Tribolium castaneum: one gene and its partner. The protein of the gene in region 2 interacts with the protein of the main gene of each other region in a pairwise test. Links are inferred from orthologs where the notes say so. Each region holds a gene or a part of one and is shown on either strand. Other genes may lie near its edges.

What was found.
Region 1: the proteins of stan (region 2) and fz interact in binary tests that used the Drosophila melanogaster proteins (3 or more experiments, as listed by UniProt). The link is inferred for Tribolium castaneum from reciprocal best matches to the Drosophila melanogaster genes stan and fz.

Annotation. Positions count from the first base shown.
Region 1 is NC_087398.1:10,365,169-10,371,664, reverse strand, and holds fz (frizzled precursor), read left to right. Parts: upstream 1-1,984; coding exon 1,985-3,119; intron 3,120-5,152; coding exon 5,153-5,667; 3' UTR 5,668-6,351; downstream 6,352-6,496. Other genes in the region: meigo (solute carrier family 35 member B1 homolog), read right to left, coding at 6,490-6,496. UniProt on the Drosophila melanogaster protein: Receptor for Wnt proteins.
Region 2 is NC_087395.1:21,416,235-21,422,927, forward strand, and holds the start of stan (protocadherin-like wing polarity protein stan), read left to right. Parts: upstream 1-2,363; 5' UTR 2,364-2,619; intron 2,620-6,693. Other genes in the region: uncharacterized protein LOC656540, read left to right, coding at 1-53, 101-243, 294-424, 477-702, 750-879, 931-1,060. UniProt on the Drosophila melanogaster protein: Involved in the fz signaling pathway that controls wing tissue polarity. Also mediates homophilic cell adhesion. May play a role in initiating prehair morphogenesis. May play a critical role in tissue polarity and in formation of normal dendrite fields.

The sequences.
Region 1 (6,496 bases), on a different chromosome or scaffold from region 2:
TTTCGAGCAGTTTATGCACTTTTTCTGTTTATTTGAGGTGAGACAAAAGGCAGGGTTTATTTTTTAAAATTTGGAACGGTAACTTGTATTACAAACGAGTTAATTACTATAACTATCTAAAGTACGACAAATGTTCCTCTGTCAATAAAAATTATTATTTTTTAAAGTTTGTAAATTTTTCGTTATTTTCTGAATCAACCAAATTTTTTTTAATGTTATAGTAGACTAGGGCGGCAATGGTAATTATAATTAAAATATCAAAACTATAAAACTTTTTGTTTTTCTTCTCAAAATTTTAGATTTTTGGATGTTTTAAATAAATAGGTTTATATTTTTTTCGGATTTTGCTCAATTGAAGCTTAGAGGTTTATTCTAAATTACCATCATAACTGGTGGAAAACTGTCAGCGACATAGTCAGACTCTTCGTTAAGATATTGGAGATAATTTAATCACTGATTTAGATAATAAAATTTTGTACATAAGTGTGCATTTTTTTTCTAATATGTATTTTATAACTATTATTATTATTGATAATAATTGTTTTGTTAATCTATTGTTAATCTATTGTTTTCATCTTACTTATCTTGTTATTATATTTTTTAAAGACTAATAGTTAGTTTGAAAAATATTTTATTACGGCGCCAGTGAGCATTTTTTTTCAATTAGTAAATATACGGCATTGGGCAAAAGTGTGGAACCAAGCGGTTTGTGCAAAAATTTTGTACCTTACGAAAAAACTAATTAGTACATCATTTATTCGCTACTTTAAAAATGTGATCATTTTTTAAGAATTGTTTTTTTGCTTTCTAGTGTAATTTTTTTATGATGATTTTCTACGATAATTTTTTTGGTAAAATATTATGCTTTAAGAATGATTTCTAATTAAATCATTTTGTTTTTAAATCAGTGTCTTATTAAACAAATTTTAAAAGTTGCGTTTCAAACTCATTACAAAGATTTTTTGAACTTTGACAAATCAAAATTACTGCATAAAAAAACAGTATTATTAAATTAGAAGTTATTTTTAGAGCATATTTTATTACTAAACAAATTGCAATAGTAAGGTATCATTTGAAATTTTTTATTATAATAATAACTGGAAAACTTATAAAAAATGGGAAAATTTATTCTTGAAAAATGATCACATTTTTAAAGTAATTAATGTAATACTAATTAGATTTTTTGTAAGGTACATAGTTTATGGGGAAAACGCTTGATTTTATACTTTTGCCCAACACTGTATGTTTAATTTCAAAATTCATTTTTGACTAACTGATAGTTAAATTATCTGTTAAAATCCTTAATGAAATTGGAAGACATAAACATAAAATTAAAAAATTATGTTGAGTCTTTACTCAAAGGAATGTCAGGCCCTACGTTCAATATGACCCTATGTAGCAATATTGTATTTTATCTTTCTTTCTTTTTCATTAAAATATCTAAAAATGGAGAATAGGTACCTAATCCGTTTTTAATTTGCCAGAAGCTGCTAAACCCACTAATTTATATCACTGTAACTGTGATAATAAAAATATAATGTTTATTTTTTTCTTTTCAGCAATTTTTCAGTTTTCAGCAGGTTTTTGGAGTTATAGGCTACGACAAATACAAACTTGTACAGTTTGTTGCATAACCATTTTTTGTAGATATTTTTTGCAATAAACGTTATTTATTATATCAAATACTTTTGTGTGTATTTAATACAATTGTGCCTTCTTAAAAACCATCAAAAATCTAGTTCAGCATTTTTATTTCTGTAAAAAACTGTGCAACAACTGGTAATACAATGGTAATAACGTTGGTAGCGCTGTCTAGTGCAAACATCAGAAAATGGCCACCAAACTAGTCTCGAGTACTCGGTAGGGTGTCAAGTCCATTGTGATGTTATTAAAAATAGTTTTCCTCCCCGAACGTGCAATTTCAAGTATTTCCCCGCAAATAATGTGTTTTCTTTGACCCTCGATCGTTTGCCCCCCAACGAAGATGAAGCCGCTGCTCCTGCTGGCGCTTTCGTCGATCATAAACGGCCTGCAGCACGAAATCTCCCACATCGAAGACGCAATAATTCCACCCCATGACAAGTGCAAGCCCATCACTGTGCCTTTCTGCATCGACGTCCCCTACAACAGCACCATTTTCCCCAACCTGGTGGGCCACAACACCCAGGAGGACGCCGGCTACGAGGTGCACCAGTACTTCCCCCTGATCAAAATCAACTGCAGCGCCGACTTGCACCTGTTCCTCTGCTCCGTGTTCGTGCCCGTGTGCACGATCTTGGAGAAGCCGGTGCCCCCATGCCGCTCCCTGTGCCTCTCGGCCAAGTCGGGCTGCGAGGGGATCATGCGGAAATTCGGCTACAACTGGCCCGAAAACCTCGACTGCAACCAGTACCCCGAAAACTCGAATCTCTGCGTGGAGAAACACAACATCAGTGTGACCCCCACACCGGCAAACGAGCCCCCCGACTACCCCAAGAGCAAGTTCGATTTCAAGGGGGTACGGGCGAAGTATCCGCGGGATTTCGGGTTCGTGTGCCCCCTGCAGTTCGAGGTGAAGAACATGGACTACTCCCTTAAAGTGGGGGACAAAGTGGTGAAGAACTGTGGGGCCCCGTGCCACATGATGTTCTTCAACGAAAATAAGCAGAAATTCTCCCGGGTCTGGATTGGGACTTGGGCTGTTTTGTGCTCGGCCAGTTGTCTGTTCACTGTGTGCACCTTCTTGATTGACACCAATAGGTTTAGGTACCCCGAACGCCCCATTATATTTTTATCGGTTTGTTATTTGATGGTCGCTTTGGCGTACGTTGTCGGTTTTATCGCCGGCGATTCCATAGCGTGTAAGGAACCGCCGATTTCGGATGAAGGCATCAGGAAAGTGAGCATTATCACACAAGGGACCAAATACGAATTGTGCACGATTTTATTCATGGTCTTATATTTCTTCAGTATGGCCTCGAGTATTTGGTGGGTGATTTTGACTCTGACGTGGTTTTTGGCCGCTGGGTTGAAATGGGGGCATGAGGCGATTGAAGCCAACTCACAGTATTTTCATCTGGCGGCATGGGCGATTCCGGCCGTTAAGACCATCACGATTTTGGCGATGGGAAAAGTCGATGGTAAGGAAAATTGTTTTTGTCTAAAGCGGTCCAACAATCAGAAAAGTGTTTCGTCCAATTGCTTATATTCAAAAAATACTACTTTTAAATAAAGCAATAAATTTATCAGTCACAAGTCTTTGGGATTTTGTTAAATTGAATCATTTTAAAGAAACACAAGAATAAGTAAATTGTGTTACTATTTATTATAATTAATAAAAATTAAAACTAAAAGAATCTCAAATTTTTCGATTTTTTTTATACAGGGTGAATAGTCTATTTCTGAAATGCTACCAAAAACAATAATTATACGTACCACTGGCTGTTGGGTTCGCTGAACAAAAAAAGTTTAAGATATTGTTAAGTATTGAAAATCTACAGCGGTATGAAAAATAATATCTTGTCTTTTCTAGAAAATTTTCAAATCTTTTTATTTTATCGGTTAGAGTTGTACCGGTTTTGAATTTTTCAGCAAATAATTTCTCCTACTTTTCAATTACTAATATCCCTAATTTTTTTTCAGCAATTTAATGAATTGAATCAAAATTAGTATAACTAGAGGCATGTTTGAGTAGTAATATAGTTTATATCAAGACAATACTCAGATCAACACAATCGTGAATTGTTTTTTTTTTTTTAATATACGTAAAAGCTTATTTTATTTGTGGTGATATCTGTCTTCAGTAGTTCGATAATCATGCGTTCAACAAACAGAAATCTAAATTTTTATGAATCTTCAACATGAAAGCATAACTAATTTTTTAAAGAAATTTTTAGGGACAAAACAATAAACGAACACAATTAATTTGTGGTCCACAGAGACAATGAGCTGCTGCCAATTTTGACTGTTAAATTTATTTAAATTTATTGTTTTGTAATTTTTTACGGAAGAAATTGTTTTTGATTGTTTATAATTTTGCGACGTTTCGATTTTAATTAAATCATCATCAGGCTGCAATATTGATCTTGCTTGAAGGTGACATGGCACGAACACTTGGTAATTTTTTCTAATTAATTCTAAGTTTTATGGCCGACGCAAAAATAAGTATTTCTAGTCGAAAAAGCAGATAAATTAATAATCTAAACGATAGGGAATAAAAAAATTAAATGTCTGTCTAATTCAAAATTTAATAGTGTCGTTTTCCCTTATTTAACGATATTCTCCGTTTGACTCAGGCTTTTGTCCGATTCTTTTTTAAGAAAAGTGTTACTGCTCAGTAAATTATGTAAAATTTGGGTCTGAATGTATTATACAAACAGGTTTTATTTATAACCGCAAACAAAAAGCTATATTAACTTATTTTTGATATGATGTTAAAAATTATTAAAAAAAACTTCAATGACGTAAATGATGAATTTATCCAAGGGAAGATTTATTTTTCAGTTTATTATGAGAATAAGAGTTTGTGGAATAACTAAAATTATTTGTTACAAAATTGTAACATTTGTAATTAATGTTTCGTGTTTGTCTAACAGGAATAGGTTTTAGATTGGAACTGTCTTCTGAAATTATGAAAAAACCTCGCAAAGACAGAACTTGTTTATAAAGCTTTCGGTAATGAGTTAATGACAAAATTTTCATACACCAAGTTTATGTAAAATGACCAACTTTCCAAAAATAAAATTTATAACACAATGTAATCTCAAATCTAATGACCAACCCTACCTTTAATTGATCTCTTATGAGTGTCCTATGTACAATTTAATTTATTCATAATGTGGAATGTATCTCACTTTACATTTATTTTGCGTGCATTACCTGATAACGAACATTTTTGCCATTCTATATTAATTATTTTTAGTGTTTATAAGATTTTAATTCATAAGGGATTTAATTACTATTACTCAATACTGCAACACATTTTGCTATTTTGGGTTGGTTTGAATTTCTGTTATTTAATATTTCATTTAGAAGGCGATTTTCACTTTATGTGACAAATGATCCAATTCCGCTTTTCTGGTCGTTGTAAATGATGACAAATTTGTCGCGCTTGATCGCGTTTCCGTTTTCTCTGATTATAATAGCATTTAACTATGTATTTAAACCGTTTCAGGTGACGTACTAAGCGGAGTTTGCTACGTTGGAATTTGGAACGTGGACGCCTTGCGAATCTTCATTCTCATACCTTTATGCATTTATCTAGTCTTCGGGTTAGTATTTTTAACTTCCGGCTTAATCTCGCTATTCCGTATTCGTACGGTAATGAAACACGACGGTACAAAAACCGACAAATTAGAAAAGCTAATGATCCGTATCGGCGTATTTTCTATTTTATACACAGTACCTGCAATGATGGTCATTGCTTGCCTGTTTTACGAACAGTTTAATTTCGATAATTGGATGTTGACTTGGAATCACGACATGTGCGTCAAACAGACCTATGCCGTGCCTTGTCCGCAAGACATTAGGGAATATTCACATCCGCTCTTTCCCATTTTTATGATCAAATATCTCATGTATATGATTGTGGGAATAACGTCAAGTGTGTGGATTTGGTCGGGCAAAACGGTGCACAGTTGGAAAGTGTTTCTTAACCGACTCAGAGGCAGACATGCGGCTTACGTTTAATTCAAAACTTAACGAGCCTAATGCACAATTTAATACCGCCTATAAGTTCAGTTGCTCAGACAGACGGACTTAACTACCTCCATTTTTAGCGTCCAAATTTTTTACGGCCGTGTCTTAATGTTGTATCTGCATGAAACGGAAATTCAATTTTTTTCAAGACTGCTCTCTAGCAATACGAATAAATGGACAAATCAGTTCGCGATGCTTCCAATCTGCTTAAGCGCACATCACTATTAAATGTACGTAAGATCCCTAAATGTAATATATTTTTGTACATTTTTGTATATAGTTTTTACAATCGTAACATGAAAATTTGACTGAAAGTTTATAACACAATTCGGTTTTTTTAGAAAAAAGTATTTTATGAGATTTTTACGAATGCTGCTAGAAAACGTACTGGTATTTATAATTTTTATATTAAGTAATTTAATTTTTTATGTATTTTATATAACTGTGTTCACACTTTCCCCATTAAAAGCTCAAAGTCCTTTTAAAACTGTTGTGATGCTGTCAATTAAACAAAAATATTTATGGCAAGTTACTTTTTGAGCTTGTTGACTATTAGACTAGAATCTTAGTTCTGTTGTATGTTGTAACAAATTGGTATTAATTTTTTACTCACTATGTAATTTAAGTTATGTTCTTGTATATTAATAAGAGAAATACATCAATGTTTGCCAATTATCAGATATTTCCAACACCCATTTCCCACCACTCTGTCATAATCAATCAATGCAGGTTCATACAATCAAACAGCAATCACTGATAAGTTTTTATCATAAATAAAATAATAAAATTTATGTAGAATTAACAACAAATAGATTAATTG
Region 2 (6,693 bases):
AGCGTCAACCCCAACGCAATTCCCAACATATTGATCGATAAGAAGAAATGCGAGTGAGTCACGAATTTGTGGGTATTTTTACGTATTAATAAAATTGCAGCGATTTGGGTAAACTTCAGCGATGTGTTGTCGAAGAATTGGAAAAGTGCAAAGACAGCACCCCTGCTAATATCGTTGATGCACTTTTTAAGTTCGTCAAGCGTTCGGCGTGTTCTAATAAAAACAAACGGAGCGCGATGATCCGTAAGTTCGGAACTGGAACATCGCGGAAAGTTTCAAGTTTGTTGTTTCAGACCGCATTTTGAAAAGACACGTCGCAACGGTCAACCATTATTTTAATTCCTCGGAACTGAACAGCATATTCGAGTCCACATTTAGGGAAAAGTGCAAAAATGCCCCCGAAAACGGCTTTAAATCTGTCCAAGTAGCTACAAACTTGGAATTTTTAAGTTCGTGTTCTATTTCAATTATTTTAGGAAAGTTTCAAAATTGCCAAAAAATGCATCTACGATCAGACCACCGAGTATCCCATTTTTGCCACACCTTTGGAGAAGTTCCAGGAGGAATTTAAAAAATGCACCGACGATTTTGCCGAAAAGGCCAAAGTTTGTTTGCCGGAAAAAGAAAAATATTTCCCCGAATTTTACCAGAAAATCTTTATAAACTTTATCGAGTTTTTGTACAACAACCAAAACACAATTCGTAAGTTCCCACTAACAAAAACAATTTTTTCAAACATTTTTTTCCAGTAAGGGTGTCGTCTAGGTCCGAGCTTGTTAACTGCTTCCAAAATTTCAAGCAACATAAAGCGAAGTCCGAAATGAGCAAATGTTTCCATTCGTTTGAATCCACCAGTTTGGAAAAAGACGCAGTTTGCACGTAAGTCCCCAATTTGCCAATTATTACCTTGTGATAATTAGTTAATTTCAGGAGAATAACAAAAACCAAAAGTTGTGTTACTGGACAATTACAAAAGAGGTGCATTCGCGATGTCACCGTCAATCAATTAGTCGAAGATTTCTTCGAGGTGTTGCTGAGTCCTTGTGATAAAAGTGGTTAAAACGAGATTGTTTCCACCGCCGGATAATGGCACTTCCATACATTATATTAAATTTATTCTTGGATAAATAAAATAGACGAACTTTAGCTTTTACAAGTGTTTTATTGGAACCACATTGGAACAGCTCACGTTTTCCTGTCTTAATAATGACAACAGACGATCTGACTTGACTTGACCTGACTTGACTTTTTGAAGATATTATTCTTTCAAAAAAAAAAGCAAAATTGACGTCAAAACCACGACTCAAAACTTATCGATCTATCGCAAAAATGACGCTTTTACTCCTAATAATTTTTTCTTTCAAAATTACGGTCTTATTACAATTTAATAATAAAGCACCTATTTTTTTCTTTCTAAAAATTATAAAACAGTTTATTTAGTTCTTTGTGTTCTCACTTAAATGCCTACTGTAATAATATAAAATTTAAACCAAAAAAAATACTTAAAACCAGTGTAAAATGAGAAAAAACAAAGCGGTCTTTCTCTTTTTAATAAAATAAATAATCCATAAAATTTACAGCAATATATTTCTAAACCACTAATTATCAGTAAATTCGGAATTCCACAGGTCCATGAAAAAATAAATTAAAAACATTTAGGAAATACAGTAAAACCATACTTTCAGCAGACTCACCCTGTATACTATTTTATATGTAGTTACGATTTTTTGTCTTTTTTGAAGTAAATAAAAAAATAGGATTATTATTTTGGAAACAATATGGAGAAATATTTTTTATATTAATTTTTTTCATTAGAAAATAAATTAAACTGAACAAAATAAGTAAAAATTAGATTTGGAACCTATTTTTGTAATTTTCTGCATCTATGTATTGAAGAAAGGTATCCTTAAAAAAAGAGTTAAGGTTTTAATCGCTTTTTATTTAAAAAAAATAACGATTATTTTATTTATGCAATATAATGTAAACAGTTAAGAACTTATACAAAACAAGTTTAAATAATTTAAAGAATATTTATGCACGAAATGACCCCATTTTTTCAAATAAAAGCCACTTCTCAATGAAAAATTAGTCGAGTTGTTTGAAATATGTCGAAAATACGAGGGTAGGTCAATATGTCCTTACAAAATCTAGGTGGCGGCGCTCGTCGCGTAGTAACCAATTTTTATATCATCTTCGTATCAAATAATTTATCAGCGTATCAATATAATTTTTTTACCAAAATAAATTAATAAAAATAATAAATACATGCATGAAAACTAATACACTTGTGTCGTGGCTCCCTCTTACATAAGCTGTGCAACCTATCACAGAAACCTATGTTGCATAACAGTCGGTAGGCAACCGGCAAGACAGAAAAGAGAGATGCGAAAGCTTCAAAATGGCTGCTTGACTACCAGTAAACTTGTGTTTTTAACCCGAAACTGCCAAACAAACCATTTATTTAATTAGAAAAAATTCAAAAAACACCACTAAAGTGAAAAATATTAGTGACCAGAACTACTGTGATTTTTTTAGTGCCAGTTTTATTCAAAAATCGGTCTTTAAATACCTGTGTCAATGCACTTATGTTAAAGTACAGTCTGTGTTAAAAAAATCCAGGTGAGAATTTTAAATTTCAAATTTTTTTATTAATATTTATAACTGCGATTTTATATTTTTAATATAAGTATAACAATGTTATAGTCGTTTTTGATGAAAAAAAGCGGTAACTCTGCGGGTAATAATAATAACAATGAAAAAAAAGGAAACTCGAAAATTAGATATGCAGATATGCAAAAACGAGAAGCTCTGCCTCCTGAATTATCTCATACGCGAAAATCGCGATTTATTATCACTTTTAATTAAGCAATCCCAAGGTTGTTAATTACATTTTATAGAGCAGAACTCAGTTGCAAAAAGCGCGAATGAAAGTAAATACGTTCAATAAAATTGAGTTTTAATGAACTCGTCCCTGATTAGGCGCTTCTGATTATATTATATTCAAGACAGTGCGCCTAAAACAAAGTGAGTCACCACTTAATCCGAGCGAAACCCTATTCATCCCCCACATGTTACACGGGGTAACATACCTTCTATACAAATTTGACGGTCGATACTGGACAAAAAATAAAAGTGCTACTTGAAAAGCTTCTCAGTCGAAAGCTTTTGTTTTTACGCGACCCTTCACATAAAAAAGGATTTGTAATCAGGCTACAAAACTTGCTGTAGTCGTATTCCGGGGTGAGTTTTAGTGCTTGCCGCCCCAAAGAACTATTTACTATATTTTGTTAAAAAACTCTTACTTTCCGCTGCGGTCAACTCATTTCTTGTACGATTGATCCGCCGTGTTTTTACAGTGATGAATCTTTCATTGCTTACCCAACCTTAACGTTTGTTAACCGAAATCACCTGCTTTGAATATCAAATTGATGGAGAGACAAAGAGCGCGCAAATGAAAAATTACACGCTCGTGAACATTTTTTCGGAAAAATCTCTTGTTACAGTCACCTTCACGTGATGCATGATACATACGAGCGGATTTATTGCTCTCTCACTAACAATAATTTTAAATGTCAGAATAACCAACCAGTTGAACGTAAAAGTAAATAATTAAATTGCCTCAGGACGTCGTAAAATATGTAACTGTAATTTAGAATAGGCTTAATTAGGGACTTGATGTGATCGGTAGCCGGTAGCCGCATTTTTCATCTGTAGTTGATTTATTTTTTCAACATTGTTGCGGACAATTATAATCAAGATAATTGCAGAGGAAGGCATCCATCGAATTGCTTAATTAATTTTCGCACTAGCTTTGTGCAATCAACGCAAAAAATTATTGCAACACGAGTTTCAGGATCGTGTCTAGTGTCCATTTGAAAAGCTAGTTCTGCATTGCAACAACTCCATCAAACATAAATTTCTCCCGTAATATCAATAAATCTGCAAACTTCGTAACTGTAGTAAAATTCATTATCTCCTTTTGATAGAACAGTTGGAAACCAACTCCAGCTGGTTGCCTTGTAATTGTTGGTAGCAGGTGGTAAACAAAAACTTAAACACGTTTCGAAACGTCTTTGTGCCCTAAAGACCATCGGCGAAAAAACAGAACATCATACTTCGAACAAAATTAAACTCGAGGCAATTTACGAGAAAATTATAAACTGGAATGACATTAAGCCGATAAATTGCGTGTTTCCGACGTTTCTTTGGGGAGCAGAGAGTCCCAGGAGCCACTAACGTTACTTCCTAATGGCAAAAGGCGATATACAGAGTGACTCAGCCAAATACCTATGACATAACTCATTGTCAAGTGTTTTTCATTTTTTATTTAAACTATTAGATACCAAAAAATCCGACTATAAAAAAATTAATTTATTCTTCGACACTGCCAAAATCTTCGATTTTTCTCCTGTGTAAGGAAGTTTTTACAACTGTTTTGGTATTTTTCATTATGGAACGTCAGATTATTCTTAACAAACTTTAAGCCTTGTTGAGTCTAAAAATGTTGTATTCAACTCGTTTTCGTGTAAATCGGCTAAGTTATTTCACCTCGTGAACGATAAACCAGTCGTTTTCACTCGTGACTTAATAATCCACTCGTGATATTAAGTGTCCAATTTACACTCAAACTCGGTAAATAAATAATTATTATTTACAACTCGTTTTTGAAGTTTTTGATGAAACTATTAGATTTATTTTTGTTCTATTTGCTGATTAAACATCAAAAAGTAAAAAAAAGTAATTTTTAGGAAATATTTTTTACTCGTCATTTACCAATTTTCTTCAAGTTTATAATGAAAAGAAAGTATTGTTTTTGGAATTATTTGACAAATATTATATCAATACACATTTACTTACCCTAGTTGATGTGCAATTTTTGAAAAAAATATTTTCAGTTTATTTATAGTACACGTTTCTGTAAATCTTTACGAATGTCAATAGTGTGCAGAACATGACGATAAATATATAATTTACTTATTAAACGAATTGGGAATAATTTTAAAAACCATTACCTAACAAAAACTGGTGATAACAAAATTTGTTACAATTAAAGGAGACTACTCGGGAGAATAGTAGAGATTTTATGGCAATATTTTTGGAGATATAGTAAAATAAACTCATCTTGTATTAAATAGAAGTATGTATTTTTTCTGATAATTACAATTTTGTTAGTTATTTTCTTAAGAACTAACTTAAAATAAATTGTATGAACGTTATTGTGCAATTTAATTTTTGCTGAAATTGAATGTATTTACTCTAGAAAGATGTTTTCATTTTATTTTATAGGCCTTTTGGTTTGGAATCTTATTAAATGACGAACAAATTAAGTATAGATAAATTTGCAGAAAGAAAAGCAAAAAAAAAACAAATTTTGAAAGCTAAATTTGAGGATCTTGCAAATTACTTGAAATAAATTGTATGAACGTTATTGTGCAATTCAATCTTTGCTGAAAGTGTAGGTATTTTACTCATTTTACTCATCATATTTTATATGCCTTCTAGTTTGGAATCTTATTAAATGACGAACAAATTAAGTATAGATAAATTAGCAGAAAGAAAAGCAAAAAAAAAACAAATTTTGAAAGCTAAATTTGAGGTTCCTGCAAATTACTTGAAATAAATTGTATGGACGTTATTGTGCAATTCAATCTTTGCTGAAAGTGTAGGTATTTTACTCATCTTATTTTATAGGCCTTTTGGTTTGTCAATCTTATTAAATGACGAACAAATTAAGTATAGATAAATTTGCAGAAAGAAAAGCAAAAAAAACAAATTTTGAAAGCTAAATTTGAGGATCTTGCAAATTATTTGAAATAAATTGTATGAACGTTATTGTGCTATTCAATCTTTGCTGAAATTCTAGGTATTTTACTCATCTTATTTTATAGGCCTTTTGATTTGGCAATCCTATTAAATGACGAACAAATTAAGTATAGATAAATTTGCAGAAAGAAAAGCAAAAAAAAACAAATTTTGAAAGCTAAATTTGAGGATCTTGCAAATTACTTGAAATAAATTGTATGAACGTTATTGTGCAATTCAATCTTTGCTGAAAGTGTAGGTATTTTACTCATTTTACTCATCTTATTTTATAGGCCTTTTGATTTGGCAATCCTATTAAATGACGAACAAATTAAGTATAGATAAATTTGCAGAAAGAAAAGCAAAAAAAAACAAATTTTGAAAGCTAAATTTGAGGTTCCTGCAAATTACTTGAAATAAATTGTATGGACGTTATTGTGCAATTCAATCTTTGCTGAAAGTGTAGGTATTTTACTCATCTTATTTTATAGGCCTTTTGGTTTGTCAATCTTATTAAATGACGAACAAATTAAGTATAGATAAATTTGCAGAAAGAAAAGCAAAAAAAACAAATTTTGAAAGCTAAATTTGAGGATCTTGCAAATTATTTGAAATAAATTGTATGAACGTTATTGTGCTATTCAATCTTTGCTGAAATTCTAGGTATTTTACTCATCTTATTTTATAGGCCTTTTGATTTGGCAATCCTATTAAATGACGAACAAATTAAGTATAGATAAATTTGCAGAAAGAAAAGCAAAAAAAAACAAATTTTGAAAGCTAAATTTGAGGATCTTGCAAATTACTTGAAATAAATTGTATGAACGTTATTGTGCAATTCAATCTTTGCTGAAAGTGTAGGTATTTTACTCATTTTACTCATCTTATTTT